4 linked regions of the Arabidopsis thaliana genome follow. The protein of the gene in region 3 interacts with the protein of the main gene of each other region in a biochemical or structural test. Each region holds a gene or a part of one and is shown on either strand. Other genes may lie near its edges. The genes, in order: GTE3, AUR1, AT1G09200 and EDM2.

Region 1 (7,214 bases), about 25 Mb from region 3:
GCATTATTCTAAAAAGGTTTTCATACTTCGTATAGGTTTTTCTGCTTACCACACTCATACACACAGATGTATATAAATATTGATAGCTTACTTTGATATATATTTATATCATGAAACGTTGACAAAAGGAATATGTATGCTGATCTCGAATGAGCACTTTGGAGAAGTTTAAATCTCGTCAATTATAAATCTCCTTCCACGACCGCCTTAGTTTTTTTTTTCTCTTTGCCTTATCTATTTTATAATGTATAGCCAGCCAATAAGTTATCATTTCAATGAGATTCATCATGATCCCAATGCCATTCTCTATATAAATTGTCGCAACCATGTGATGAAAAAACACAACAACCCATCTATACCATTTTTCTAGCTAAAATTAAACTAACACCTTTCTAAATTGAAACCATTGTCACATAACACATGGCTAACTTGAAATTCTTGCTGTGCTTGTTCTTGATCTGCGTTTCCTTATCGCGTTCATCAGCGTCTCGACCGATGTTCCCAAACGCAGACGGGATTAAACGAGGGCGTATGATGATAGAAGCAGAGGAAGTGTTGAAAGCGAGTATGGAGAAGCTAATGGAGAGAGGTTTTAATGAGTCCATGAGACTCAGTCCTGGAGGTCCCGATCCTCGCCATCACTAAGTCTTATTCTCGTAGTTTTGAATTCGAGGATGTATATTTTGTTCTTGATCGAGAACCGGTTTAGAAGAAAACATATCGATCCTCTTTGTTTGTTTTTTTTGCCTTGTTTGTTCGTTCGGTGTAACCAATATATTGATGTATCTGTTTCGTTACACATTTATGATTTGTGCATGCTTTACGTACCTTATACATTCCACTATATAGTAGTCTAGTAGAGAGGAGGACTTTGCATATAAATTGTTATATAACAAGAAAGGGTAAAGAAATATAGTATGATAAGGGAGGATTGAATTAATTTAATTTATCCTGTTTTTTCAGTCTCTAATGGCTCGTGTAGAAAAGTATATATTATATATGGACTCTTTTGCCTCATCGTCCACCAATGAAATATCACATAAAGAGAGAACGATAGTGATTGAAGTTTTTCAAAAAGAAAAAAAAAACAGGGGAAAACAGAGAGAATTATACTTTTTAAGAGCGAAGCAACGTCTTCAAATCTTCAATTTTTCAGAGATCAAACCCTTGAAATGCTGCTCTTTACGAAACTCATTTTCCAAAATCTCTTTTTCATCACTTTCGTTACAAATTCACAAAAAGTTACAAGTCGTGACAAGCTTGAGCTTAAGTATGTGTATGAATAGTGTGACCAAATTGTTTTGCAAGAGATCAAGTAACTTGTTACAAAAGAAATGATTCAACGTAACTTACAAAACTATACCAATTTACCAAATCAGTTATCTGTGGAAAGAGGGTACCTACAGTACCTCTCATTTTTCATACACATAAAGAATCTCTCATAAGCCGAAGCCATTTGAGTCGCTGTAAACATCGAAAGAGCGTATCCCTTACAAGCTATTCCTTTCATCTCCAAAACCCTAGGCCCATCTCTTACAACAGAATCCAAAGTCTCAACAAGAGATCTCACGTTTGGAGAAAATGTGTACCCAAAACGCTCGTCCACAACCACTGTCCCAACAATGCTTGGATAATTAGGTGCCACGACAGGTTTCCCACACTGCATCGCCTCAATGATCGTCAAATCAAGCCCCTGTGGTCTCAACGTCGGATTCACAAACACATCTAAAGCGTTGTAGAAACCAGAGAGCTCCTCTGGCTCTAAAGCTCCTAAAACCCTAACGTTTTCGCCTAATTCCGCGTATCTTTTGCCCCAAGGACCAGATCCAGCCACAAGCAAATAGACTTTCGGGTGCATTTTAACGAGCAAAGCAAACGCTTCATATAGAAGTGGATGTCCTTTGTCTCTCACCAAACGTCCAGACACACCCATCACAATATATGTCCCATTGTCAGGAATACCGTGTTTCGCCCTGAACCTAGCTCCAGATTCAGGAGAATACACGAACTTGGTTTGGTCAACACCGTTGACTATAACGTGAACTTTTCTCTTAGGAAGTTGATAGATGTTAACTAGTACCTCGCGCGCGCTGTTGCTAATGCAAATATGCTGTTTATATTTTGGGAAGAATCTGATTTCATCGACGAGTCTAGGCATCGTTTGTTGAAGATCAGAGCTAGGACGATCATTGGAAAGTTCTTGAAAAAGATTTGAATGCATAATCTCGTACCAGATTCCGTGCCATGTCACAGCTATGTCACCATTAGGCACCATTTTGACTCGCCAATGAGGCAGAGAAACACTCTCAGTGTGAACATAATCAAAGGAATGATGATCTAGACTGTTGATTTTATGGAAGATCTCAAAAGCTCGAGAGTGGTTAAGTGAGCCGTGTTCGTTTGGAGCAAAGTAGACATGGAGATCTCCTTTGTTGTAGTACTCTTCTCGGTTACTTCTGTCGGAAGAAACCGTGAAGACGTGAATCTCGTGACCTCTTGAGGCGAGAGAAGTGTAGAGTGTGTAAGCATGACGCTCCATTCCTCCGGGGATCGAACCAACAGGCCATGACTTGCAGAAGACAGCGAGTTTGAGCTTCTCCGAGATTGGTCCAAGTGAGAGTTTGTTCCAAGGGAATGTCAGGTCTCGAAGATCTCCTGCGAAAGGAGGATTTTCCGGTGAAGAAGTCACCGGAGAGTAATCAAACTGTGAGAAGAAAATGTAGTAAGAAGAACAAAAGATGAATGCTAAGGTAATGATTGTTGTGAATCTGAATGAAAATGAAGTGGAAGAAGAAGAAGAAAGAGTTGTTCTTGAAGAATGGTTCTTGAAGGCCATTGTTTTGGTTTATTTGATTTTTGTGAATTGAGTGCAACTATTGATGTTGATTCTTTGCTTAAATTTCGGATCTTTCTCGAGTTATTATATCAAAGTTCATTTCTCAATGACATTGCACATGGCTTAGCTAATTTTTATATGGTTTTTACATTCAATTGAAAGTCAAATCTCTCTTAACCAACTGAGATTTGTAACTAAACCGGGATATCACACCTAATTAGTTTTCCCGGTTTGATATTTTGTTTTGTACACGTAGGCGTGTGATTACTCCGTCACACTTTACACATGTGTAATTCCCCTAATTTATCGGGTTTCTTTAGGCGCGTGAGATAATGCGCGTGTGTCTACGCTATTCTTGCGACGCTGTGCTTCCTAGGGTTTCGTCGTTGCAAACACAGTCAATGTTCATGAACCACGGATCCTAATCTCCCCGATCTTCGATTCATTGTTTCAGAAATCCCCAATTACTGTCTCTGTGCGTAAAATCTCTAGAGAAACCTTAAAATTTTCCGTTCAGAGAAATTGTCAACGAAGGTAATGGCGTCTGGTCCTATAGCTGGTGGTGGAGTTTCGAAGACGAAGCATAAATGGAGTGATAGTGGCAACAAAAGCCAAAAACGATCCAAGCCCACGGTGGCGAATTCGAATTCGCTTGGGTTGGAAGATAATCATCAGATGATGAAGATAAGTTTAAGCTCAATTTCCAAGCTTGAAGTTAGGAACTTGAAGCGGAAACTACAAGCTGAGCTTGAGGAAGTTAGGAGCTTGATCAAACGGCTCGAACCACAAGGTAACAACTTCGCTCCCGTGCCGAACAAGAAGCTGAAAACAGCAAACGGTGGTAAGAAAGGTGGAGTACATGGAGCTGCTGCTGATAAAGGTACTGTTCAGATTTTGAAGAGCTGCAACAATTTGCTTACCAAGTTAATGAAGCATAAGTCTGGATGGATTTTCAATACTCCAGTTGATGTAGTTACGCTTGGTTTACATGATTATCACAATATTATTAAGGAGCCTATGGATTTAGGAACAGTGAAGACTAGGTTGAGTAAGAGTTTGTATAAGTCACCTTTGGAGTTTGCTGAGGATGTCAGACTTACTTTTAACAATGCAATGCTGTATAATCCTGTGGGGCATGATGTGTATCATATGGCTGAGATTTTGTTGAATCTGTTTGAAGAGAAATGGGTGCCTCTTGAAACGCAGTATGAGTTACTTATTAGGAAGCAACAACCAGTCCGTGATATCGATTTCCATGCTCCTGTTTCGACAAACACTCATAATGTAGAGGCGTTACCGTTACCCGCTCCTACACCTTCCCTGTCTCCTCCTCCTCCTCCTAAAGTAGTTGAAAATAGGACTTTGGAGAGAGCTGAATCTATGACAAACCCAGTGAAACCTGCAGTTTTACCTGTTGTCCCCGAGAAGCTTGTAGAAGAGGCGTCTGCAAACAGGGACTTGACGTTTGATGAGAAGCGGCAACTAAGTGAAGACCTCCAGGATTTACCTTATGACAAGCTAGAGGCAGTTGTGCAGATTATAAAGAAGAGAACTCCAGAACTCTCTCAACAAGATGATGAGATTGAGTTAGATATTGATAGTCTTGATCTGGAAACACTTTGGGAGCTTTTCAGATTCGTGACTGAATATAAGGAGAGCTTAAGCAAGAAAAAGGAGGAACAGGGATTAGACTCAGAAAGAGATGCTGAATCTTTTCACAATAGTGTGCACGAATCGGTGAGAGCAAATACCTAATTGTTATTCACTTCTCTTACTTTTACCATATAACTCTTACTGGGCTAATGATATCATATTTCTTCTTCCGTCTTCACAGAACACGCTAGTAACTGGCCTTGAATCGTCAAAAGTTACTGAATTAGGTGAAATTTTAATTCTTAAGATAGTATCAAGCTCTTCTATATTGGTCGTTTAGCCCCACTACAATAACTCTTCTTTAATGTTTTTGACACTTGAAAAGGTCATGTGGCATCTACTGTTCGACAAGAAGTAAATGTTGGAGGATCAAGTAGTTCTAACAGTTCTAGTAGTGGCTCAGGCTCGGGTTCTAGTGGTAAATGTTGAAGCTGGTTTACCTTCTTCTCCCTTATGAGCATCACAGTTCCAAACAAGTTTACTCACATTCCTCTTTTCGTTATGCAGGCTCTGACAGTGATAGCTCAGGACATGAATCTGATACCGGTAATTAACCACGATTGTGAAAGTATTTAGCATAGGTGGGAGCCATCGTGGTGTCAACTTCCAACTTTTTTTTTTTTTTTTGCATCTCTTAAAATAGCAAAGCTAGGTTACCTTCTTTTCCACCATCGGATTGTTTCTGTATTACTGTATTAGGGTTCTTGTTAATTGTATAGAAAAGTGGACATAAGTCTTTTGTTTCGGGCTTGTGTCATCAATTGAACAGGCTTGTTCTGTACTTCTTAGTTGGTTTTTTTTTGTTTGGTCTTACGTTCAAATTTGTGCATTGATTTTCGACCAGTCTTGCTGGGCCAGATCGGAGAATAGTTTGACCTCAAAACCCAAGCGAGACCTTTATTGGCAAATTTGTGTTGTTTTCAGTATCATATCACTATTTTTAGATCAATCACCAAAACAAAGGACATGCTACCTAATGTAGAAAGATCACCAACTGGTGGTTGCATGGAACAAAGTCGTTTTTTTATGCTTGTATGTGAAGACATACGCTTCTCTCAAACATCCAACATAGATTCATCAGCTCAATAGCAAGAAGTAGTTCTAAACGAGCTAATTACTCCGAGAAGTCTGTTTCAAATGTCTATACAAACAACTGCAGATTCGAGGATGATTCAATCCATCTTCCAAGTTGTGCTTGTTAGTCTTCTAGTTCTAGGATCCGTGAGATGGATACTTGATGAACTCAAGAGCAAAGAAAGTCGAATATCCAAACTATATGGTTTCAGACAGAAAGAGGCAGTGTTTGTCACTAAAGAGGATCAGCTTGATGAGAGCTGCAATGTCTTTGAAGGACAATGGGTTTGGGACAATGTCTCTTATCCTCTTTATACAGAGAAGAGCTGTCCTTATTTAGTCAAACAAACAACATGTCAACGAAATGGACGGCCTGATTCTTATTACCAGAACTGGAGATGGAAACCGAGCTCATGCGACTTGCCAAGGTAAGAAACAAAAAGCATGTGTTGTTTCATGATCTCAGATTCAAACTTGCGCAGTGTTTAAAACCTCTGAGATGTTTCAGGTTCAATGCTCTGAAACTGTTGGACGTGTTGAGAAACAAAAGACTAATGTTCATAGGAGACTCAGTGCAGAGAAGCACGTTCGAGTCAATGGTCTGTATGGTGCAATCAGTAATTCCTGAGAAGAAGAAGTCCTTCCATAGGATTCCTCCTATGAAGATCTTCAAAGCTGAGGTACATCAAAACTCATCTTCCTAGAAGAGATTTTCAACATGAATTGTAAGAAAAAAGGCTAATATGGTTTCTTATACTAAAGTTTATGCAATTGATCAGGAATACAATGCATCCATCGAGTATTACTGGGCACCTTTCATCGTGGAATCGATTTCAGATCATGCAACTAATCATACAGTACACAAAAGGTTGGTTAAGCTCGACGCCATTGAAAAACATAGCAAGAGCTGGGAAGGGGTTGATGTTCTAGTCTTTGAGAGCTATGTATGGTGGATGCATCAACCTAAGATCAATGCAACGTAAGCTATATAACGCATAAGCCATATTCGAGTTGCTTGCATTACAGAAGAGCTTAGAAGGAAAACTTATACGCATATGCAGGTATGGAGATACCAGTGAAGTCCGAGAGTATAATGTGACGACTGCTTATAAAATGGCGTTAGAAACATGGGCCAAGTGGTTTAAGACGAAGATCAATTCCGAGAAGCAAAAAGTTTTCTTCACGAGTATGTCTCCGACTCATCTATGGTATGTTCCTTCCAAACACAAAACATAAAAGATTATAGATAGTTTTTAGAGCAAACCTTTTCAATTTCCAAAGACATGGAGAGTGATTTTGGTGTGTGATCTTGGAAGGAGCTGGGAGTGGAATCCAGGGAGCGATGGAACCTGTTATGATGAGTTATATCCAATAGACAAAAGATCATATTGGGGTACAGGATCAAATCAAGAAATCATGAAGATTGTTGGTGATGTTCTAAGCAGAGTTGGAGAAAATGTCACGTTCCTGAACATTACGCAACTGTCGGAATACAGGAAAGATGGACATACGACTGTGTATGGAGAACGGAGAGGGAAGCTCTTGACAAAGGAACAGAGAGCTGATCCGAAAAACTATGGAGATTGCATCCACTGGTGTTTGCCAGGAGTTCCTGATACATGGAATGAGATTCTCTATGCATATTTGCTTC
Region 2 (7,314 bases), on a different chromosome or scaffold from region 3:
TTCTTTTACAGAACCACCACTTTCTCTCTCGATGTTGCAATCCTTAACAGACACATTACTTGAATCTGAATCCACACAATGATCCTTCTTTTTCATACCTTGCATAACAGCCTCTGTACTAAGGGATAATTCAATGGTTATCGGTATATCAGCTGATATGCCCACAGTTTCACGCGAAGGATGCACTATCCCAATTAGAATATTTAGCAGTGCCACCCATGAAGCTTCAGGAAGTTTAAATTGCACTCTTTTTCTTAACTTCTTGGAGGTAGCATCCATGTCCTGATTCATGTCAGACACCTTTCTTTTGCCAAGAAATTTGAGCCGAACGTGCTGAGGTTCAAGTTTATCTATACCCTTGGGAGCAAAAGGAGCTGAATCTGTGTCTTCAATACAATGTTTAACATGCAAAGCACGAGAATGTGATGGCCAATGCCTTAAAATCAGATTTGCAACTGAAAGACAGGAAACTTCATCACCTACGGCAATGAGAACTTCTAGAAGTTTCTCCATGCAGTTCCCTGCACATTAGCCAATTCAATTTTCAAGAGGGAGGGAAGGGTAAATGCAATAGTCCATACCACATATGAGTAATGTGAACCCAAAAACAGAGAGAGAAAGAGGAGAACAGTGCGTACAGTTATTGGGGCTGCAGAGAAGTCCCTGTTCAAATGCCCATCGTGAAATACTCAGTAATCCCATAGAACATGATAGGGTTCCAAGATGGTTCCAGAGCACAGAATCTTTTGCATCTAAGTCTATAGCTTGAAGATAACAGTTTAGAGCATTCTCGTAGTGACTTGAACCAAGCTCAAGAAAGACAGTGGCAAGATTCTTCAGAGCCAAAAATCTGCAAACAGAAATTATTTATAGGCGAGACCACAGCACTAATGAACTAAAAATATATGAACTAGACAAAATCAATTAGTAGACATGTAACCAATAACTAGATGAATTAAAACGATGGAGCTTGACCTGAGATGATGGAGATGATTGTCGTTTGCAATAGTCTCCACCTGGACATAATGTCAATAAGAAGGTCATTCATCATCCAAAGAAATCATCAGAGTAAGTGAAGAAGATGATTTTACTTTGGAGTTGGTTATAATAGGATCTTTAAGGATAGATTCTAGCAGCTCCCGAGCCTTGTCATAGTCTTTAGCTTGCAGCTTGAGAAGACCATCATGATATGTTTGTGACAGATGAAACTCCTGAAGAGGGCAATTTAAAAAAAAAAACAGTTCAATATATTTTTCAACAATGAGCTAATCTAACTTCTTTATACCAAATTGAGAAGAAAGAAGCCCTGAATCAGAAGAAAACCTGAGCTTCTTTGCTAGGAGCTAAAGGTTCCCACTTCTCTGTGGACTCCGTATCATTGATCGCTGCAATCGAAAACTGAAAAAAAAAAAAGCGAAACAAATGCAAAAAAAATCAAAAACTAACCGATTAAAAGGGGGATCAAAATTAAATCTTTGCCCGAAATTATCATTACCATCTTGATACTCGAAGCTGGTAATGGTTGGGGTTTTCGAGTTCTTGGCGCGAAATTGGTCAATCTTCTTCTTCTTCTAACTAGGGTTGATGATGCACGTTAAACACATTACTAGAGTTTTAGATTTCACAGAATTCTTTTCTTTGTTTGGTCTGTTCGTCCTCTACTGTGTTTTTCTTTTGTTTTGGCTATTTTGCCGTCTGTTAAAAAATTGGGGTTTTCCGATAATGTATTGTATATGCCTGAATTATGGAAATATCACTAAAAACACTTTTTTGCACTTTTGTATATATTGCAATTAAGATTTAATTTTTCTATTTTGAAGACTTTTTGTTAAAAGAGAGATTTGCTAACTCAAAATTACCGGAGTTAATAAGTTCGTTCTCATCAGATTAGCAAAACATTCATCTTTAAAGAAATCTGTTTATCTCACGTAAAATTCTACTAATTGGCAGCAGCACACTACTTTAATGGGCCTATTACTATTTCAATATGCACTGAAAACTTCATTGGACTGTCCAATAACATTATAACATTATTAAAACTAAACTACATTTGTATTTGGGTTACAATTTTATAAAGAGTAAGACTCAAGATACTAATTGGGCTGCAGACAACTTTAAAAGCCTTACTACAAAAATCAAAACCATTCTTAATTAACTAACAACCAGGTAAAAATCTCAGTACAATATTTACACTAAAAATAGGTGCCACCCACTATGCAAAAGTTTAGGGCCACGAACAAAAAAACCTGTAAATTGTTATGTCTTCACAATATGTGTTTTAATACACATGAATTTTAGCTACGGTTAATGTAAATTTTGTAGTTAAATTAAGGCTAAACAATCTCAAATATAAATTGGTCAGGTCCACAGACAACAGCCTGGCAAGTGGCAAGCACTAAAAATTCGACCGTTATTTTTTGCCCCTTTTTTTAATATTTCGAAATTGTATCTTTTAGTTTTATTTTAAAGCTTTTTAGCCCGCTCCTCCTCCGCTCCACCTTTAATTTTTTCACCAATTGGATTTGGATCTGTCAAAAATATTGGCCTCTTTCTCTCTTTCTCTCTTGCTCTCTTTCTTTGTTGGGTTGATCTCTTCTTCCATGGCGATCCCTACGGAGACACAACACCAGGAGAAGGTACTCTTTCACCATTCCATGATTCCTTCGTGTCGTTTTTAGCCAAATCTTTTTTCCGTTTCTTTCGATTTTTCTTTGTTCTTCCTTTTCTTTTGCACGATTTTAGGGTTTGAAACTTTTGTGAATTTGAACAATCGATTTATGTTTGGAATAGAAAGAGAATCAATTAGGGCAGATGTTCAAAAATTGCTCAATTTCAAAGCAGATTCGTTTCTAGCGATGATCTGAAAATTGGTTTTTATCAGGAGGCTTCAGATGCTTCTGCAGCAGCTGCACAAAAGAGATGGACTTTAAGCGATTTCGACATCGGTAAGCCTCTTGGCAGAGGCAAATTCGGTCACGTCTATCTCGCCAGAGAAAAACGGGTCAGTATATAACAATCTATCATCTTCCACCATCTTTCAAATTTTTGTTGTTAAAATCCAAACTTAAGAAGCATTTGTTTTAGATCCTTGATTGTTTTTCCTTCCACCAATCTCACACATACATGCAAAATGTGAAACAGAGCAATCACGTTGTCGCTCTAAAGGTTCTTTTCAAGAGCCAGCTTCAACAATCCCAAGTTGAACATCAGCTCAGAAGAGAAGTTGAGATTCAGTCTCATCTTCGTCACCCCAACATACTCCGGCTTTATGGCTATTTCTATGATCAAGTAACTTTTCATTTTTCTCCTTTTTTATTCACAGATAATTGTTATCCAATCTACTCTTGAGCATGATTAAGTTCTTCATTTGTTGCAGAAAAGAGTTTATTTGATACTTGAGTATGCTGCTAGAGGCGAACTTTACAAGGATCTTCAGAAATGCAAATACTTCAGCGAAAGACGAGCTGCTACTGTTAGTCATTCCTTCCACATTTTGACCTCTCAAACTGATTTCTTGTATGAAAACTGATATCCTTTCTATGTTCATTGTGCCAGTATGTTGCCTCATTGGCGAGGGCTCTCATCTATTGCCATGGCAAGCATGTGATACACAGAGATATTAAACCAGAGAATCTGCTAATTGGTGCTCAGGTGATGATATAAGCTTTACCTTTTCCTTTACATCTATCCATTTGATTATGAAACTAGCTAATATTATTATTCATGGATCCTTAACTATTCAGGGTGAGCTCAAGATTGCAGACTTTGGTTGGTCGGTACACACATTTAACCGAAGAAGGACCATGTGTGGCACACTAGATTACCTTCCTCCTGAGATGGGTAAAGTTGAAGGCTTGCTAAAAAGTTAGTTCTGGTGGGATCTAAATTCTTTTTAACAGTGACCTTTTGGATTGTTTTACAGTCGAAAGCGTAGAACATGATGCTAGTGTAGATATCTGGAGCCTTGGGATTCTCTGTTACGAGTTTCTTTATGGTGTACCTCCTTTTGAAGCCATGGAGCACTCAGACACATACAGAAGGTAAACAGCATTTGAAATCTACAATTATAGTCTGTTTCTTGTGGGGTTTGTTTGATGATATTTGTTACCACCAATGATCTATATCAGGATTGTGCAAGTGGATCTCAAGTTCCCTCCCAAACCAATAATCTCTGCATCTGCAAAGGATCTTATTAGCCAGGTTATATTCTATACCTTCAATCTAACAGATACACTTTGATGCAAGTGCTAGTTATTGAATCTGAAGTCTCACATATTTTCTCAATTGTATGTATAGATGCTTGTCAAGGAGTCTTCGCAACGTCTGCCATTGCACAAGCTTCTGGAGCATCCGTGGATCGTGCAAAACGCTGATCCTTCTGGAATCTACAGAGTTTAAAAACAAAACGCTTACTGTTCTCGCCAATCTCGACCAAAACTGTTATCTAGAAACCCAAAACTGTATTCTTTCTTACTATTATTTTTCGCTAATTCATGTTCCAAATAATGTGTATTATGTAGTATGTACTAATACTATATGGCATTAACGGAAGAAGGAAACTCTATAAAGAGTTGTTAGCTGAAAAATGTTTCTAATTTCACCTATGACGATGAGAACTTCTAGAAGTTTCTCCATGCAGTTCCCTGCACATTAGCCAATTCAAGTTTCAAGAGGGAGGGAAGGATAAATGCAACAGTCCATACCACATATGAGTAATGTGAACCCAAAGACGGTGAGTTTGATGAAATGGTTTGCCTATTTGAAGGGTTATTTACAACCCGCGTGTTTATCCGTTTCCAGAGGCAAGATAATGACGATTTTTTACAAAACAATGTCAATGGCATTACTCTGTAACTTTTTACAAAACAATGTCAGATTTTGTTATAAACTTCTAAATTAATAGTAGGGATTAGTGCAGAATAGTAGAGATGAACTTCTCAGGCTTGGATAAGAGGTTACCAGAGACGAAGAAGATAACAAGACAGAATATCATTAATGGTGATGCAAAAAAAATCAAATGACGGAATGTAATTTTGCCAAAAAATTTTTGCTATTAGTCGGTAAACTCCGTGGTTCCTTTAGGAGGGTTCATGAAGCTGGGCTGGTTTGTAGATGACAACATTCGCGCCCACATTCTATCTGTAATCACAACTTTGTTCTGTCTTTCGGTTATTCGCTGCGCAGAGAAAAGGAAAGAAACAAAAAAAGGATTAAAGCTCGATGATCCAATGGCAAGGACATATACTTAGGCGAAGAGAAACTTACGTTAAAGGGAATGTAGGTGTGCCTTCCATTAACAAGACCAGAGACAAAGCCGGTATAGCCAGCCATTGCACCATGGACTGCGCTTTGGGCAAGGAGAGTTGAGTAGACGTTGTCAGATGCATTGGCTGGAATAGCTCGGATCATGTATGTCGGATCTGAAACATGGTTTGAGTCATATTTCTAATTCATGAATCTATGTAGCTCGACTTGAATTTGGGGAGGACAAACGTACCAATGTATTTAAGAGTAATGTCCATTACATTGTGCTTCGCAAAGTATTCCTGTAACAAGAGCCAGAGAAGGAAACAACTGTAATAAACCCACATAAATATCTTGTCTTTTAGGTGAAAATATGGGACTGAATCTCGTTGGCAATAATTTACCTTGATTTTAAGACTCATCCATAGTCCTACATCTTTAAGGAGCTTGTTTCCTGAAGCATCTTGTTGTTCAATGCTCTCTGCAACAAGATCCTGTCCTGCTCCTTCAGCAATCACTATAACCATGTGGCCATTTTCTCTGAGACGTTTTGCAATGAACTCATAGAGCCCTCCTTTGCCTTCAAGGTAAAAGGGTGACTCGGGAATCAGACAGCAGTCAACATCTCGGCTAGCCAGAGTAGCATACATTGCAATGAACCCTGCAGTGTAGAAGCTGTAAGATTAGATAAAAGCGTAGGGAGTAACATCATAAAGAAGATACTTCTGTGGTCTAATATTTGTATGCATTACTGCTCTCCTAGATTCTTCTGTGAACTTACCACTGTACCGACCCATTAGCTTGACAATTCCAATGCCGTTTTCCACACTGGTCGCTTCAACATGCGCTGCATTAATAGCACGTTGAGCCTCCTCAACCGCAGTATCAAATCCAAAGGACTTGTCAATGACCTAGATCAGAGATACTATCATCAAATTGAGCTTCTTGCGAACTAACCAGAATAGGAGAGGAGGTTAAGGTTGAGAGTGCAGACTACAATAATGATAATCTAGGACTTACTGGGATGTCGTTGTCAATGGTTTTTGGTATTCCTGCAACTGCAACTTTAAGTCCACGGCGCCTAATTTCCTGCAGCATCAGTCAAAAAAAATTTGCTTCACAAGATTAAAGTGCTTGTGACGTTTGCACACACAGAAATATCACGGTTTTACCCAGTCCATAAATTAAGAAAACTATTTTATGTCTTCAAGCAAATAAACGTTCATTTTCATAAGAGCAGAATGTCTTCACAGGAATTTAATTAGACAGTTCTCTTCAAAATATGTTTTAGATAGGTATATCCAACAATAATACACAACATTTCACTAACCTTATATATTGCATTTGCTCCCTTTTGGGTTCCATCACCTCCAATAATGTAAACCTATATCACAGATGCAGCAGACAAAGCAACTGACTCTTATTGGTATAACTATTCTCCATAGAACACAAACAAACTGAAACAACAAAACAAAATTTTTCTTGAATACCTGATTTATTTCACGATCTTGTATGTTGTCGACAATCTTTGATGTATCATGTCCCCCTCGGGAGGTTCCTAGTATGGTTCCCCCGCGCTTGTGGATGTCACTCACAGTCTTCGGCGTTAGTGCAACAGTGTTTTTAGAATAGAACCCGCGAAACCCGCACTGCGATATCAGAAACCAGATGAGTCAAAACAAATCCTACTCAATCAATAATGGCTAACATAGTATTTGCTTTCCATTGTAATTTGCTATTAAAACTGACATTGCTCTATTATGCTCTACTACAATATGCAATAGCAGCTATAGAACAAAGCATTCAGTCTACAAGTTGGGATACAATGAGATCATCATCCCTAGAAAATACAGTCTAAAAGCATAAATCGTAGGTACAAAAATTGAACTCACATCCACACCAATCACTTCTGTAACACCATACATAAAATGAAGACCACACACGATCTCCCTGATAACTGTATTAAGCCCGGGGCATAGGCCACCACAAGTGACAATACAGGCACGCACATCAGATGGCTTGAAGTACACCTAAACACAATATATAATCATATATCAGCAGTTTTTACAT
Region 3 (6,029 bases):
TTGATCCTGGTTTGCTAAGCTGATATATGACACACTACCTCCCCAGTGAAGCCCTTAAGAGGTGCACGATCAAGCTTGGGAAACTTTTTTCTTTGGTATCTCACAAGCATAGCTATAAGCTGAAAATAATATGATAGTAATCAGAAAAACAGTAAATTCCACAGCAGTAAAAAAAAAAATGTAAATTGAAGACAAGTTCCTCCTTATAGAGGATTAAGTACCCTACCTCGATTTCCTCAGCAGTGTAGCTGTGGAGATGATCCCCATTCTACGAAAGAAGAAACTATTAATAACAATGTGGACAAAACAAATACTGAAAACCTACAAAAATTTTCTAGTAGAAACATAGAGTACTCTTGGTGATAAGCTTTTGTGAGTTACTTTTCCAGATTATAAAGAGCTGTGCTTATTGAATGGTATGTTTGACAGCGTTAGATGAACTAACCTTGATGATATGATAAGATTGCTTATGATAACCCTTTTTCCCTGTGATGATTCCGATATTGTGCAAGAAACAAGCAGCTTCGAGATACTCAAGATCTTTATCGTCTAAGATAACCTTAAAATCATTGCACTTCCTCAAACCTAGATAGATCTCCTGGAAAATCACTGTACTATCAAACCTACTGAAACAAAATGACCATATCCAGTTGTGCAAAGCTTAAAATGAAATTTGAAACCATTAGGCACTAGCGCACACACACAAAAGAGATATATATATGACCAGAGGAATGCATATTTAAAAGGTATGACAAAAAGCTACAATCTTTATGAATATCTGCCAACCAATATTTCACAATTAAGTTGCTCGTGAAAAGGAATGTACCTTTGCAATCTTGGCACAGTGTATCGCATGAGTCATTCGCTTTTTACCACTGAAACGCGTGGCAAGCCTCATGACCGATCGCCATCTTGCATTAGCATTTAAATCATATGATCCATCAAAAGCTTTGGCCAGAGAATCAGCAATCACACCCTCTGCCAATGCATACTCTGAGACCTCCATGTCCTCTATGCCAAGAGCCTTGAATATTTCCTCCAACAATACAGCCCCAGCAACAATGAACTCTGATCTTCTCTTGAAAAATCCCTCCCTTCGAATCAGCTCTTCGTCTCCTTCACTGCATAGCTTTGCTACAACGCTGCTCAGCTCTCTTGTACCAAATCTCCAGTCCCTCTTATACCCTTCCAAATTGAAATCACACAAATCAGCTCCATAGCCACTGAAAACTGCATTCTCAATAGCTCGTATAGTTCCAGAAGATCCCACAACAACCTCAAAACCATCTGATTCATTCAATTTTTCTGCTAACCTAGACTCATCAATCGCATGACGAATATAGTCTCTCATTTCCTTCAATCCAATACCATTTTTCATAAACATCTGCGTCAAATTCACGTGACCTAGCTTTAAAGAAACAGCAAGCTTGACATCACCACACTTACCAACCACAAATTCAGTAGAACCACCTCCAATATCAACACACAACACTGATTTCTCAAACACAGGTAAAAACTGAAGCACGCCTAAATAAACTAACCTGGCTTCCTCTTCACCAGAAAGCACATCGACCTTAAGCCCAACATCCTCAAAAACCGCATCCACGAACTCTTCCTGATTCTCGGCTCGCCGTAAGGCTTCCGTTGCAACGCATCGGATCCTATCACCAGAGACGTGGTGCGAGAGAATTAAACTTTTGAATTTCCGTAGAGATTGAAGCGCGCGAGCCTGAGATTGAGACGAAATTGAGGTTGGAGATTCACGAGACAACACCACTGGCTCTTTGAGTCTCTCGATTGGAACGAAAGATCTACCGGAAGGCTCAGCTTGGACTATTAGAAGCTTGAAAGAATTTGTTCCCAAATCAATGGAGGTGAAGACCTCCGATGATATAGGATTCGATAGCAGATTGGAGTTCATCTTCGATCGAATCACAACTAATTAACAATGATCTTCACAACAATTTCAGCGTCAAAGCTGATTAATTTGTGAGACTATAATGAGTTGTGAACTAGCACAAATTAACCAAACAATTAGTGATTAATAAAGTCAACTAAAAAGTCAATACTTTGATAGAACAAAAGATAATTGCTTGGAATTAATATTATAACCCTTGGATTTAACTTGAAATTTTACAATCTTATGGTTCTAATCAAAACACAAGAGTAACCAGAATACTTAGATCTAAGCTCGTTCTCCTCTGATTCTTCTCGCGAGCTGGATGTCCTTGGGCATGATCGTGACCCTCTTGGCGTGAATGGCGCAGAGATTGGTGTCTTCGAAGAGTCCGACGAGGTAAGCTTCAGCAGCTTCCTGAAGAGCGGCGACGGCACTGCTCTGGAAACGAAGATCGGTTTTGAAGTCCTGAGCGATCTCTCTGACAAGCCTCTGGAAAGGGAGTTTACGGATAAGAAGCTCAGTGCTCTTCTGGTACTTCCTGATTTCTCTTAAAGCAACAGTTCCGGGTCTGAATCTGTGTGGCTTCTTCACTCCTCCGGTGGCCGGAGCAGATTTCCTCGCCGCTTTTGTCGCCAGCTGCTTCCTTGGAGCCTTTCCTCCGGTTGATTTCCTAGCCGTCTGCTTGGTACGAGCCATGAAGTAAAATGTTATTAAGAAACTGTTTGATTTTAATTTGAAGATGAGAGAAAGTTGAGATCTGGATAGTTTGTTTCGATTGAGGAAGGGGATATTTATCGTCTGGAAATTACAAGAAGTGGGAGGGAAAATATTTCGCTTTTCTTTTTCAGCGGGATTAGATCTGGATCGTTCATTGGTTTTTAATCAACGGATATAAGAGGTTTCTATCACGATCCGCGTGAAATCACAGCAACCGTAGATTAATACAATTCTACGGACAGATTTCATTCTTTTCTAACACTGATCCGCGTGAAGGTACGAAGACCAATAGAAATAAAAGAAATAATCTAAATATATTATCTTTACCAAAAAACCAAGCCCATTACTTAATAGGGCCTGCGTAATTGTTTTTCTTTTTTTGGTTCTCAATCAGCTTTTTCTGGGCTTAAATACCATCTCAATATGCTAGGACGCTGTTTTGTATAAAGATTGTGACTTCATCTTTTGAGAATGACATCATGAATTAAAATATTGCTGTCTAAGGTTAAGGTAAAACAAAGATTGCACTGCATTCGTTCTCTAGCGTTCTAAGCATCTGTGGTTGGGGTACAATTATCTCTATATAATTTTTGTTATCTCAACATCTGTCTTCACAATGGAAGTGAACCCAGTATAAGTGTATAGACAATGTGGAAATTGTTTGGAAAGTGAAAGACATTCTACATTACTACTACTCTAGTATCAATCAACTTGCAGGGACGTTGGACTGTTGGATTATGGACTTGGTGGTCTGTATTGACTGACAAGAGACTAACAACAAATTCTCAAAGGGTGGGGAGCAGTGAACGAATACACCAGAATCCGATTTTGGCGGACATTGGCTTAGCAGAGAAACAAGAGTAGAGAAAGAGAAGCAACTGCAAAACTTCTTCATGGTTTTTTAAAGTCTAAAATGAGCATCTGACAGACATTGTATCCCCCTTTTAGTTTTGCTAAAACTTGTTTCTATCTCCGACAAACTAGATGCTAAAATACTTCAAAAGAAAACGATAAAACAATAAAGAGACTGAAAACTTTGGTCTTCAAATCTTCAACCTTTCACCTATAGCTCATCCTGCAAAACCAAATCACGCAGTTTTAACCACAACTCAAGGAAAACAACAAAATTATGGATGAGTGAAATTTCTCCAAGTGATATTGTGGTAGCATACATGAGCGGTGGCGTCTTTCTCAGAGGTTTCCTCGCTATCTACTGATTTGGTCTCCTCGGCCTTAGATTCAGAATCGGAATCATCTCCTCCTTCATCATCCTCTGGTTCGTCTTCAGCCTGGAATTTATATCACATATAATATTAGGACCTTGACAGAAACAAACAAGACTCTAAAAAATTTGATCCTTCACAAGTGCTTACATCAGATTCCGCAGGTGCGTCCTTGGATTCCTGTATCAACACAGAAAAAGGAGAATGCCGTCTTAGATTATCTATTCCCAACTTGGTTACAACAATTACATAATTGGCAGTAGAAACTCCACAAAAGTCCAAACTACTTGTTTTAGAGAGATTCAAATGAATTAAGCTAAATAATTAGGAGAGATATTTACCTCTTCCTCATTCTTCTTCTCAGCCTCATCGAAAGCTGCTTTCTCCGCCTGCAATGTGATATTAGATTGGATATTCTGATCAGTAACCAGAAACAAAAAAAAAAAAACTGTGTTATGAAATTGGGTATTTTAAACACCTACATCCTTGAGCTTTCCCCATGTTTCATCTGCCAACTTCTTGGCATAGTCTGGGTCATCGCAGATCAAGACATTGTCGAACAATGATCCTGATTTCACCTGGAAGAGTAACATGTATTAGATGAGAGTCATGGGAATAAAGCATATCTTCGAAGGTCATTCAAAGTGACAAAGATTTATTTACCTGCCACAATTCGAGTCCAACATATTTCAGCTTGGGGAAGACGTAGAGCTCTGGGTCATCCTTGAAGTCTGCGGTAATCAGTTTATTTTAGGCACACTAATTGTTTATTATTATGTCTAAGAGAGCTAAATTTTCATGTAAGTTAATGCAAGCATAAAAAACAAAAAGTTGCGAGTTCTACAGTTACATCCAAATGAACATGATATAAAAGTGTAAATAAAGGTGAACAAAAGATATAGATTACTAAATGTGTCAAACTGGTGTGACCATGGATTTAATGATAGAGAAGATAAAAGAAAAACCAGGTTAGTTACAAACATGTTTCTATTTAATAGGTTAAACCACTAAACATAGAGACGCCAATAAACCTTTTGGAAGTAAAGGATTACTTCAGCATTTGAGTTTAAATGAACCCTTAGGCCTTAGACTTAGATAGTCCTTCTACTTAGTCAAGAGAAATCTAACTGGAGAAGATTTAGGCATACCAGAAACGACCATCAAACAACAAAGAACAGAAGTTGAACCACAAATTACATGCAACATGGATAATATGGCCACAGAGAGTAGTAATGTACCAGGGTTGTCAATCAATGGAGCCTCCCACTTGCCCTTGTAGTTGGGGTTCTTGATTTGCTACAAAAATATTTGACAGCCTTGAGAGGAAGAAAAACGTTGACCAGGATATAGATACTTTTTGGAATAGAAATTGACAAACCTTAGGCTTCCATTCACCCATGTACTCAGGGTTGGGGATTGTTGGGGCAGTCCACTCACCATCTTCTTCATCATCCCAGTCCTCAGGCTAAGAGAAAGGACAACGAAAAATCAGCAAATACGGAACACAGCAAGAGATTTTAGATTTTACATCAATTATAGACAAGTATGAACCTTCTTTGAGTCGGTGTCTGGGATCTCCTTAGGGATATCATCGTAACCGTCAGGTTTCTTGTCTTCAGGGTCAGAAATGTATTCTTGTTCGTCCCAGTCCTCAGGCTGTACAAATAAATAAAAGGATCAATTTGTATGATGGATGGTATCTCAGGTATAATCAACCAAGTTCATCAGAGAGCTTTGGTATGGTTTGTGGTTAGTTCTAGTTTGCTCCAAAATTGAGTATAAGTGGTTGGTTCTCAGTTTAGCCTGGTTGTTCATAAGAAATAGAATACCTTCTTGGCGCTGGGGTCCTTGATCTTCTTGGGTGGGAGAAGATCCCAGTCAGAGTAAAGGCTACCAGTTTGTTTCTCAACATTGTCGATGAGAATGCTGTAAGTAGCATCTGGGCGGAGGATAAATGTGTACACATGGGTGAGCTGGTCAGTTTCACATGGAACATCTTTCTTGATCAGGTGGTTGGCTTCATTATAGGTAAGGATAGCATGCACTTTCTTTGTGCTGTAGCCACAGATATCAGGACCAAACATGATACTGCAGGTAAAAAAGCAGATGGGTTGTTATTTTTAAACATTGATGTTAATTGATAATAGGTTGAGATGATAAGAGTGAGATGAGATAGGATTTGTACCTGT
Region 4 (10,768 bases), on a different chromosome or scaffold from region 3:
AAATGAGAATCACACGCTCTGTCTTAACTCTGCAAAAGCTGTTGGCTGCAGTGTGGTTAATATCGGGACTCAGGACCTGGCTGAAGGACGAGTATGTTATACTTGCTTAGTTTTCACTTTTCAGTATATCATAATATATTGGTTGAGACGAATATAGAAGATTCTGACTGCAGATGTTTCATTGTTTTTGCAGCCTCATCTGGTGCTTGGATTGATCTCACAACTCATAAAGGTCCATACTTGTTTGCTATGTGCACTGTCTTGTGTTTGTGCTTGATGATTTACTAACCAATGCTGGAAACTGCAGATTCAACTGCTTGCCGATCTTAGTTTAAAGAAGATGCCTCAGCTTGTTGAGTTGGTGGAGGACAACGAGGTAACGATCTGCTAATCTATTTGTGAATATCTGACCAAACTATAAGCATGTCGTAGATATTAATAACAAGTTTCTGTCTGTTGCAGGATATAGAAGAATTTCTGAGATTACCCCCAGAGAAAGTCTTGCTCAAATGGATGAACTTCCATCTCAAGAAAGGTGGTTACAAAAAAACTGTTGGAAATTTTTCATCGGATCTGAAGGTATTTCCAAATAGCAAATCTTCTTTTTTGTCCCTTCAAAAGCTTCATCAAGTAGTTTTCTCCAACACGCTGACGCAATATCAGTTTGAATAGAAAAAACAACAGATCACTCATTAGTTATGAAAATGTTTGGTATTTTTTCTTAATGTTGATGGTTGAGATTGTTGACTATGCAGGACGCACAGGCCTATGCTTACCTGCTTAATGTTCTCGCACCAGAGCATTGTGATCCAGCAACTCTAAATGCAGAGGATGATCTTGAAAGGGCTAACATGGTCCTCGAACACGCAGAGAGAATGAACTGCAAACGGTATTTGACTGCAGAGGAGATAGTTGAGGGGTCTTCGTATTTGAATCTAGCATTTGTGGCACAGATATTTCATGAAAGGTCGGTAAAAGATCACTAAAGATAGAATATTTTCTTATGTACTGGTTTCTTACACACTAGCTTCTCTGTACCTGCTGCAGGAATGGCCTTAGCACTGATGGTAGATTCTCCTTTGCGGAGATGATGACTGAGGATTTACAGACTTGCAGAGACGAAAGATGTTACCGGCTATGGATTAACAGCCTCGGGATTGAGAGTTACGTCAATAATGTGTTTGAAGATGTTAGAAACGGGTAAGCATTTGGTATGCAAAATAATTTATAATCTTTTGGTCCTGAAACGTATTATAAGTTTTTCAATACTGAATATTTCTGATGCAGATGGATTCTTCTGGAAGTTGTTGATAAGGTCTATCCAGGCTCAGTTAACTGGAAGCAGGCTTCAAAACCACCAATTAAGATGCCGTTTAGAAAAGTAGAGAATTGCAATCAAGTCGTGAAGATTGGGAAAGAGATGAGATTCTCGCTCGTAAATGTAGCTGGAAATGACATTGTTCAAGGAAATAAAAAGCTTATCCTCGGTAATTACTCTTCTTAGCTAGCTAAAAAATGTTTATTTTGTTAAGATGCTCAACAGTCTTAGAAATTGTATAACACTAAAGGTGTGTATACATGTCTCAGGCTTCTTATGGCAGTTGATGAGAACACATATGCTCCAACTTCTCAAGAGTCTAAGATCTCGGACACGAGGAAAAGACATGACCGACTCAGAAATCATAAGCTGGGCTAACAGGAAAGTCAGAATCATGGGGCGGAAATCGCAGATCGAAAGCTTCAAGGTTCCATCTTTTACTTTTATCAAAACTCAAAAAAAAAAAGTTCAACTGAACAAGCTTATGTTGAACAAAATCTGTCTTGCTAAACTTCAATAGGATAAAAGTCTATCGAGCGGATTATTCTTCCTCGATCTTCTATGGGCGGTTGAGCCAAGAGTTGTTAACTGGAATCTTGTCACCAAGGGTGAATCAGGTCCTTACTCTCTCTAACTACACTCACAACCTCTTCACTCTCTTTCTCTTCTCTGTTCAAACTGAATTTGTTTAATCGTTATTTTTTCGCTATGGAAACTTTGTAACAGACGATGAGAAGAGATTGAATGCTACATACATTGTCAGCGTAGCAAGAAAGCTTGGTTGCTCGGTTTTCTTGTTGCCAGAAGATATCGTGGAGGTAAAGAACGGAATCAAATCTTCCGAAACAAGAAAACAACATACATCAAAATGTAAATCTGATGTTTTTAAATGTCTTTTGTTGCAGGTGAATCAAAAGATGATACTAATCCTAACGGCAAGTATAATGTATTGGAGCCTTCAACAACAATCATCATCGTCAGAGAGTTCAAGTTCGAGTTCAGACTCATCATCAACTCATAGCACGACGACGACATGCACTAGCACATGCACGAGCACTGATGCTTCACCAGCTCCATCTGTCACGGGTGAAGACGAAGTCTCTTCTTTAAATGGCGAAGTCTCAAGCCTAACGATAGAAGAAGACAATGAAGTCTCGAGCCTAACGATAGAAGAAGACAATGACGCAGACATTTTGTCAGATATCACCTCCATCTCAGAGGAAGCAGCTAACGAATAGAGCAACAAGACTGAACTATCTTTGCCGGAACAGAGTTGCTTTGTAATATTTTTTCACATCACCTCTGTTTGTGTTACTACTACTAAATAAAAACTATATTTGTTACCACAATAACAATAAAGATAAAAAGATAAAAATATTTTATGGAGTAAACATTAAAATGTCATTGTTTTTTATCTTCATAAAATAATGTCATTTAAAATTATAACTGTGCTGAAAAGGAATGATTTGCATTCGTTTTGTCGGCTAAAACACAAAAAAGAGATATTTAAGAATACCTCAAATGATTTATATTTATCGACTTATTGTTTTTGTTGTTTGGTGTTGCTTGCTCTTCTCTCTCTCTCTCTGCTGATGCCTGGCTCGAGCGTCGAACCAGTCACACGTTGCACTTTGCAGTGCCATCGCAGACCAAACGTGCTACAAGAGCCAGGCGCATGCTTTCTTGCATGACTTGTTATTTAAACGTACCTGCTTCGAATAATAGTTATCCAATAAAAACCCTAAATAGAGAAATCTATACGAAATATTAATTAAGGAGAGGGATATAATATTCTCGGTCTTATTCGTATTTTATGCTGAAGATTTGTAGAACGAAATTTAAGGGAACTAAAAAAAACGAATTATGTTAAGAATTTGTCATATTTAAAAAAAAAACAAAAACACAATCTCAGCGGCGTTGCTTGCACACGTGCGCGAGTATATAAACTTGGAAAAAAATAATGACGACGACGATTCTTACTCTTTTTTTTTCCTCAATTCTTACTCTCTTTTGATTCAATTGCGTCATAGTATAATCTCCATCAACACACAGAGACGATAATTCTCATAGGTTTTTATCACTTCTCTTCTTCTACTTCGTAATCAATTCATTCGCTTACTTCTTCAATTCCGTTTTCTCAATTTCTCAATTTTTGGATGTACCAATCTTTGAAGGACTTTAAATGTCCAGGCTATTCGTCTTCTTCATTGTCCAATTCATGTTCATTGTGTCTCCTAAAACGAAACCCTAATTCGAGTTTTGAATTTCTATTTCTTTTAGGGTTTAGGAGAAAGTTGTGTCCCGTTTGATCGTTTGTGTTTTGAAACGTCTCTAGGGTTAAGGGAATTTTGGGATTGAATGACGTTCGTTGACGATGATGAAGAGGAAGACTTCTCTGTTCCTCAATCAGCTTCCAATTATTATTTCGAAGATGATGATAAAGAGCCTGTTTCGTTTGCTCGTCTCCCAATTCAATGGAGCGTGGAGGAGAAAGTTGATGGTAGTGGTTTAGGTTTTTACTTGCGAGGAAGATCTGATAACGGCCTTTTGCCTCTGCATAAGCTTGTTAAGGCTTGGAGATACGATCTTTCGAACTTCCAGCCTGAGATTTCTGTTCTTACGAAGGATAATATATGGATTAAGCTTGAGGAACCGAGGAAAAGCTATGGGGAATTGATTAGAACTGTTTTGGTCACGTTGCATTCCATTCAGTTTCTTAGGAGGAATCCCCAAGCGTCCGAGAAAGCTCTCTGGGAGAAATTAACTAGAAGTTTGAGGTGATTGATTTGTGCTTTTCAGGTCTTTTGTTCTTCTCTCTGGGAGTTTTCATTCTTTTGGTTTTTAACTTTAGTGATTGGATGTTGTTTCTAGGTCATATGATGTGAAGCCATCGCAGAATGATTTGGTGGATCATATTGGTTTAATCGCTGAAGCTGCGAAAAGAGATAGAAATTTGGCGAATTCGAAGGTTTGTATGGAGAATTTTCAGAGTTTCTGGTCTTTGGGATTTTTGAATTAGAAGAGTCCATTAAATCTCTTATAGGTGTTGTAGCTTTTGTTTCCTGAGAGCTTGTGATGCCCATATTTGTTATCAAGAGTTTAGCTCGCTTTCTGGCCTGAATGTTTTCTGTATATGTATCATTTTCTTACCCTGATTCTCTCCTAATTTTGTGCTGTTTTTCTTTCTTGTGTTACTAGTTTATACTTGCATTTCTCACAAAAAAGCCTACCAAAAGGAGATTACCTGACGAGGTTCGAATCTTTTTTCCCACTTGAGTACTCTTTCCTAATGTGCCGTTTCCCTTTTTTTCCCTTACTTTCACACGGTCTTAGTTTCTGATACGAACTTGTTATTACTTATTAGGACAATGCAAAAGATGATTTCATAGTTGGAGATGAGGACACTTATGTAGCTTCCGATGAAGATGAATTGGATGATGAAGACGATGATTTTTTTGAGTCTGTTTGTGCAATATGTGACAATGGTGGCGAGATTTTGTGGTATGTTTCCTTGCTGGATATTGATCTTGTAGTTTGATTATCTCTGATAATTAGTCTTACACCTTTTACTTTCTTTATTAGAATAAGGCCTTGATTATTTGTGTGCGTTTATGCCAGCGTTTGCTTTTACATTTAGTGTGAATTTTCTCAAATAGTCTACAACCTTTAGCGTCTTGAACAATTTCCTTTGCTAATTTGAAACTCAAGCGTACCTTCTGTTTGCGTTTGGCATTTGCAAAAATATTTTATGAAACACTGAAAATGTTTTAATACTGTGAAACATGCAAACGCAAATTCAGCGTTTGAGGCAATTGAGGCCTTCAAAGGTTCTAAAGATACACTGTTATTATTCCAGATGCATAAGTCTTGTGTTCTGCTTTCTGCAGTTGTGAAGGAAGCTGCCTGAGATCATTTCATGCTACCAAAAAAGATGGTGAAGATTCACTTTGTGATTCTCTTGGCTTTAACAAGATGCAAGTGGAAGTATGTAACATATATGATTCTTTCATTAGTTCTGAATATGTCTGGGCGTCTTGGTTTTCTTGAGTAGGCATGGAGTCTATGTTAATGCTGTTTATGGATTGTTTTCCAGGCAATTCAGAAATACTTTTGCCCAAACTGTGAGCATAAGATACATCAATGCTTCATTTGCAAGAACCTTGGCTCTTCTGATAACTCTTCTGGAGCAGCAGAGGTATGCAATTATTGATCTCTAATGTTGAATGCTGTTCAGACATGTTTTGTTGATAATGGTGACTGACAAGTAATTGGTTGAGCTTTGTGTTTTAAACATGTTCATAGGTTTTCCAATGCGTGTCAGCCACCTGTGGCTACTTTTACCATCCTCACTGTGTCACAAGACGGCTACGTTTAGGAAATAAAGAAGAGTCTGAAGCACTAGAAAGACAAATCATTGCTGGAGAGTATACATGCCCATTGCACAAATGCAGTGTCTGTGAAAACGGAGAGGTTAAGACAGACTCTAATTTGCAATTTGCTGTTTGCCGGCGTTGTCCAAAGTCCTACCATAGAAAATGCCTACCGCGGTATACCTTCATTCATTCATCATTCATTTTCTATTGCTATTTCAGAACTCTATTTGAATAACTGTCTTGTTGGTTTCTAGGGAAATTTCTTTTGAAGATATTGAGGACGAGGATATATTAACTAGGGCATGGGACGGACTCTTGCACAACCGTGTACTCATATATTGCCAGTAAGATTCATATATGGTGTATTTTGAATTTATAATTATTTACCTTGAGACACTTATTTTGAATGAGATACCTTGCCTAGAGAACATGAGATAGATGAAGAACTTCTGACACCAGTTAGAGACCATGTTAAGTTTCCTTTCACGGAAGAGCAGAAGGTCTTCGTGAAAGAGCAAAGAAGGATACTGGAATCACATGTGGGACGAGATAAAGCAAGACTTAAGGTTAAGGATCCTGCCTTACAAGATACTTGTGGAAAAGCTTCTAAGAATTCCTTTAGAAGTTCGTTTCCTTCTTCAAAAGATGGTTTCTCCACAAAGAAGCATGGATTAGTTTCATCCGTACCAGATCATTCGAGGAAACGTAAGGATATTGATCCATCCATAAAGCATAAAATGGTTCCACAAAAATCCCAGAAGATGATGGAAGACTCCCGTGAAGCTGGCAAAAACAAGCTGGGAGTAAAAGAAGCCCGTGATGCTGGTAAAAGCAAGATTTCACTGGGTGAGAGGTTGTTTAGTTATACCCAGGAACCTAATCCAGTAAAACCTGGGCGCGTGATTCCTGTTGATAGCAAGCACAATAAGACTGACTCAATTGCCTCCAAGGAGCCAGGAAGTGAAATTCCTACATTAGACAACGACTCTCAAAGGAGGTTTGTATTTTTGTTGTTTGGGGCCTATTAGTAAATTTCTTCCATTGTAATCTACTTTTGTCAATAGGCTCTTGGCAGTGATGAAAAAAGCTACGGAAGAAATAACTATGGGTACTATTTTAAAGAAATTCAAAATTCAATCTACTATGAGTACACACTCCACAAGGAATGTTGTGGACAAGACAATCACTATGGGGAAGGTAGAGGGATCAGTCCAGGTGGGCTAAAAATCTGAACCCGATCCCTATCTGGCCTCTCTTAACCCTCTAGTTATGAATTTAAAATTTTGGTTCTTCAGGCTATCAGAACAGCACTAAAAAAGCTTGAGGAAGGAGGAAACATTGAGGATGCAAAAGCAGTTTGTGAGCCAGAGGTTCTGAGCCAAATCCTCAAGTGGAAGGTCCTAGCTTAGCTTTTTCGACATCCTTTTTATTTATCTTTGTTTGTAACTAGTAATTTTTGCTAATCCTGTAGATGTTTATTTCTTTTGCTTCAGGATAAGCTCAAAGTTTATCTTGCTCCTTTTCTCCATGGTGCACGCTATACCTCATTTGGTCGTCATTTTACTAATCCTGAAAAACTTCAACAGGTAATCTATCCTCTTAAAAGCATAAACAAGATTTAGGTCTAAGCATCCTGTATGTTACAAGGATTTTCGGTTCACACTTAGTCAATTAGTGAGAAAGAAAAAAATTCAAGGAGAGATGACTCTTAAAATGTAGGATGTTATGTCTTTCCAATTAGCTTACTTAATCTGTCTTCTGTGAGGATTATTATGCTGTTGGTTTACACTTTCTGTCACCTGCGTGACTAGTGACTATCACCTGCTGTTTACACACTCTTGTCAAATTTTAACTCCTGTATCTGAAGCTTGTACCTGACCAGACCTATTATTACTTTTTGTGCAGATTGTTGATAGGCTGCATTGGTATGCAGATGATGGTGATATGGTGAGATTTGCTCACAAACGTTATCTGTTGGGTTTAATTTTATTATTTTGTTTACCTCTCTTAAGTTTTTTTCTTATATTCTGAAGTATGATCTTGTTAGTATAATGATCAATGTCTTGTGCATAAACAATGATGTCTGGTTTCTGGGATCTCTTCCAACAGATTGTCGACTTCTGTTGTGGTTCTAATGACTTTAGCTGTCTGATGAACGCGAAGCTTGAAGAAACGGGGAAGAAGTGCTTATATAAAAATTACGATCTTTTTCCAGCGAAGGTAATGACTTGTGTGTGTGTGCCTACTATTGTCGTAAGTTGTAAAGTCTTATCACTGATACGGAAGCAACATATGTTAGATCGTGGTGTGTTCTATTCATCAGTCTTCTAGGATTACTCATTGATTAGCTATCTTACTTTCAGAATAATTTCAATTTTGAGAGAAAGGATTGGATGACTGTAAGTAAAGATGAGTTGGAACCAGGTTCAAAGCTGGTAAGACACAAATTTCCTTTAGTATGAACTTTGTGTAAGCTCCAGTGTCATTGAAATAGTTTGAGTAGTATCTGACTGTTTATATTTTTGGAATTATGAGTAGATTATGGGGCTAAATCCACCATTTGGAGTCAATGCTTCTCTTGCAAACAAGTTTATTACCAAGGCTCTTGAGTTCCGCCCAAAGATTCTCATTCTCATTGTTCCTCCCGAGACTGAAAGGTTTCAGTTTCCATCTATCTCATCTGCTCCTCTGTACCATTCCATAACACTAATATATCGACTCCTCTCTCTCTCTCTTGTTAAATCTATCACTTTTCTCAACAGGTTAGATAAAAAGAAGTCATCATATGTGCTTATATGGGAGGATAAGACGTTCCTATCTGGAAATGTAAATCTTTCGCTTTTCTTTTGATTTTGCTTTTTGAGAGATTGAGCCTTTATTGAGTTTCAGTTACATGTTATGCTTCTTGCCTATTCCTTTCAGTCATTTTACCTGCCTGGTTCTGTCAATGAAGAAGACAAGCAATTGGAAGACTGGAACCTTGTTCCTCCGCCACTTTCTCTCTGGAGTCGGTCCGACTTTGCAGCCAAGCACAAGAAAATAGCGGAGAAGCATTGCCATTTGTCTAGGGATGTGGGGAGCTCAAAGTTAAAGATAGTGGAAGAAGAAGCAAACGCATCTTTGCATCCACTTGGAGCTTCTGATGGCATGTGTGATGATATTCCTATGGAAAAGGATGAACTTGAGGTAGCTGAATGCGTTAATAAAATCTTAGTCTCTGAGAAAATCGACACAGTAGAAACTGTAGCACGTGTACATCAGTCAGATCACTTGTCACGGAGAAGTCAGCTGAAAAAGGAGGGAAAGACCAAAGACTACTCTGGTAGGAAGCTTGGGAAATCTATGGATTCTAATAATGTGGATTGGAAGAGCAATGACATGGAAGAGGATCAAGGAGAGTTGAGTAGAGCACCAGAGAGCATCAAAGTAAAAATTCCCGAAATGACATCTGATTGGCAGAGTCCTGTTAGGTCTTCCCCAGATGATATATATGCTGTCTGCACATCAATTTCCACTACAACACCTCAAAGATCTCACGAGGCTGTAGAAGCATCTCTGCCTGCAATAACAAGGACAAAAAGTAACTTGGGAAAGAATATTAGAGAACATGGTTGTAAAGTGCAGGGCACTGGAAAACCTGAAGTGAGTCGGGATAGGCCTAGCTCTGTGAGAACTTCTAGAGAGGACATCTACACTGTTCGTCCATCGCCAGAAAATACGGGTCAGAAACCGTTTGAAGCTTTTGAACCATCTTATGGTGCAAGTTTGTCCCATTTCGACGATGGTCTTGCTGCTAAGTATGGTGGTTTCGGTGGAGGCTATAGAATGCCGGATCCTCCTTTCCTACCGGATCAGTTTCCATTGAGAAATGGTCCTAACGAGATGTTTGATTTCCGAGGATATTCAGACCTTGATAGAGGGATTGGTCAAAGAGAATATCCACAGCAGTACGGTGGGCACTTGGACCCCATGTTAGCTCCTCCTCCTCCTCCAAATCTGATGGACAATGCATTCCCATTGCAACAACGTTATGCGCCTCATTTCGATCAAATGAATTACCAGAGGATGAGCTCTTTCCCACCTCAGCCTCCATTGCAACCTAGCGGACATAATCTCTTAAATCCTCATGACTTTCCACTGCCACCGCCACCACCTAGTGACTTCGAAATGAGTCCAAGGGGTTTTGCCCCTGGCCCGAACCCGAACTACCCTTATATGAGTCGATCTGGCGGTTGGATTAATGACTAGATCAGCACTCATTATCCTTGTAGTTGCAACATTAGTAGTTTGATTGATCTTTTGTGTCTCACTCTACGAAAGTGTAGGAAGAATAGAAGAAATCTATAACTTTTCTCTGCCACTCACATGTGTAGCTAGTGGGCCTTTTAGCTGTTTAATAATATAAAAGAAAAAGAAGCCAGCTTCTATTGTCTTAAACTTTTGAGTCATATTTTGTGGTAATTCTTTAATACAGGACCACGTCAAACTCTGCTGCTTCCACAGAATTAGCAAACGACAGATCTGAGAAATGGAAGAAAAGTTTAGAAACTTAATCGAGGTATGGATCTCTGCTTTAATCTCTCTATCTTACTGTTATTACATATCGTCTAAACTCTCCAAAGGTGTTCTTCGTCTCCTCTCTATTCTTCCAGTCTGCATTCTGTTTCTTGTTCTTCCTCTGTTCCTCTCTTGTGTGCACTTTTGCGCCATTTCAGTTCTTTTTCTTTCATGGCTTGCAAACTTTAAGCTTCTTCTATTTGCCTTTGATGAGGGACCTTTGTTCCCACTTCCTCCAAAACTCTCCCGTTTCATCTGCTTCGCTTGTTTACCCATCAAAATCAGACAAGACCCTTCTCCAAATGCGATACCAAATCTTCATCCTAAACCTATGCCTAAATGGGTTTTGGCTGTTAAAATTTTGGTCTTGGGCGTCTTGTTACATGTTTATGAATACAGGGATGGTTTGCCTCGGTTTGTTGTCTTGGCTCTCTATTGTCTCCATATTTACCTTGAGGTAGAACTTGTCTTGGTCTTTGTTGGAGCCGTGGTATCTACTCTTCTTGGGTGTAACATCGAG

The links.
Region 1: the proteins of AT1G09200 (region 3) and GTE3 interact in a test that uses a peptide from one of them, tested with the Arabidopsis thaliana proteins (one study listed by BioGRID).
Region 2: of the proteins of AT1G09200 (region 3) and AUR1, one has a biochemical effect on the other in vitro, tested with the Arabidopsis thaliana proteins (one study listed by BioGRID).
Region 4: the proteins of AT1G09200 (region 3) and EDM2 form a complex in vitro, tested with the Arabidopsis thaliana proteins (one study listed by BioGRID).

What each region holds. Positions count from the first base shown.
Region 1 is NC_003070.9:27,502,156-27,509,369, reverse strand, and holds GTE3 (global transcription factor group E3), read left to right. Parts: upstream 1-2,963; 5' UTR 2,964-3,373; coding exon 3,374-4,573; intron 4,574-4,670; coding exon 4,671-4,716; coding exon of another isoform or gene 4,717-4,769; exon of another isoform or gene 4,770-4,814; coding exon 4,815-4,907; intron 4,908-4,996; coding exon 4,997-5,043; 3' UTR 5,044-5,397; downstream 5,398-7,214. Other genes in the region: CLE1 (CLAVATA3/ESR-RELATED 1), read left to right, coding at 421-645; AT1G73160 (UDP-Glycosyltransferase superfamily protein), read right to left, coding at 1,376-2,836; TBL31 (trichome birefringence-like protein (DUF828)), read left to right, coding at 5,627-5,991, 6,072-6,243, 6,343-6,542, 6,625-6,771, 6,880-7,214. UniProt on the Arabidopsis thaliana protein: Probable transcription factor that binds to acetylated histone H3.
Region 2 is NC_003075.7:15,839,957-15,847,270, forward strand, and holds AUR1 (ataurora1), read left to right. Parts: upstream 1-2,486; 5' UTR 2,487-2,600; coding exon 2,601-2,636; intron 2,637-2,881; coding exon 2,882-3,001; intron 3,002-3,141; coding exon 3,142-3,288; intron 3,289-3,376; coding exon 3,377-3,472; intron 3,473-3,555; coding exon 3,556-3,651; intron 3,652-3,743; coding exon 3,744-3,840; intron 3,841-3,922; coding exon 3,923-4,040; intron 4,041-4,127; coding exon 4,128-4,200; intron 4,201-4,296; coding exon 4,297-4,398; 3' UTR 4,399-4,909; downstream 4,910-7,314. Other genes in the region: AT4G32820 (Tetratricopeptide repeat (TPR)-like superfamily protein), read right to left, coding at 1-521, 639-850, 976-1,016, 1,092-1,211, 1,324-1,398, 1,496-1,498; PFK6 (phosphofructokinase 6), read right to left, coding at 5,054-5,176, 5,266-5,420, 5,498-5,546, 5,649-5,905, 6,026-6,155, 6,265-6,333, 6,575-6,628, 6,735-6,893 and 1 more. UniProt on the Arabidopsis thaliana protein: Phosphorylates specifically 'Ser-10' of histone H3 in vitro and colocalizes with phosphorylated histone H3 during mitosis. Associates with cytoskeletal structures that are necessary for cytokinesis and with the microtubule spindle.
Region 3 is NC_003070.9:2,969,537-2,975,565, forward strand, and holds AT1G09200 (Histone superfamily protein), read right to left. Parts: upstream 2,799-6,029; 5' UTR 2,597-2,798; coding exon 2,186-2,596; 3' UTR 2,035-2,185; downstream 1-2,034. Other genes in the region: AT1G09195 (Ppx-GppA phosphatase), read right to left, coding at 39-119, 227-268, 446-598, 827-1,921; CRT1b (calreticulin 1b), read right to left, coding at 3,681-3,692, 3,790-3,906, 3,991-4,020, 4,182-4,229, 4,323-4,418, 4,504-4,571, 5,079-5,136, 5,219-5,305 and 3 more. UniProt on the Arabidopsis thaliana protein: Core component of nucleosome. Nucleosomes wrap and compact DNA into chromatin, limiting DNA accessibility to the cellular machineries which require DNA as a template.
Region 4 is NC_003076.8:22,447,323-22,458,090, reverse strand, and holds EDM2 (ENHANCED DOWNY MILDEW 2), read left to right. Parts: upstream 1-3,285; 5' UTR 3,286-3,676; coding exon 3,677-4,095; intron 4,096-4,189; coding exon 4,190-4,286; intron 4,287-4,516; coding exon 4,517-4,570; intron 4,571-4,682; coding exon 4,683-4,819; intron 4,820-5,205; coding exon 5,206-5,302; intron 5,303-5,411; coding exon 5,412-5,513; intron 5,514-5,620; coding exon 5,621-5,865; intron 5,866-5,945; coding exon 5,946-6,035; intron 6,036-6,115; coding exon 6,116-6,688; intron 6,689-6,755; coding exon 6,756-6,906; intron 6,907-6,986; coding exon 6,987-7,088; intron 7,089-7,184; coding exon 7,185-7,277; intron 7,278-7,596; coding exon 7,597-7,638; intron 7,639-7,800; coding exon 7,801-7,911; intron 7,912-8,054; coding exon 8,055-8,126; intron 8,127-8,229; coding exon 8,230-8,348; intron 8,349-8,453; coding exon 8,454-8,517; intron 8,518-8,613; coding exon 8,614-9,939; 3' UTR 9,940-10,154; downstream 10,155-10,768. Other genes in the region: AT5G55400 (Actin binding Calponin homology (CH) domain-containing protein), read left to right, coding at 1-91, 194-232, 308-376, 463-579, 756-967, 1,048-1,200, 1,288-1,487, 1,588-1,745 and 3 more; AT5G55380 (MBOAT (membrane bound O-acyl transferase) family protein), read left to right, coding at 10,220-10,768. UniProt on the Arabidopsis thaliana protein: Cellular antisilencing factor and regulator of genome DNA methylation patterns involved in the regulation of chromatin states.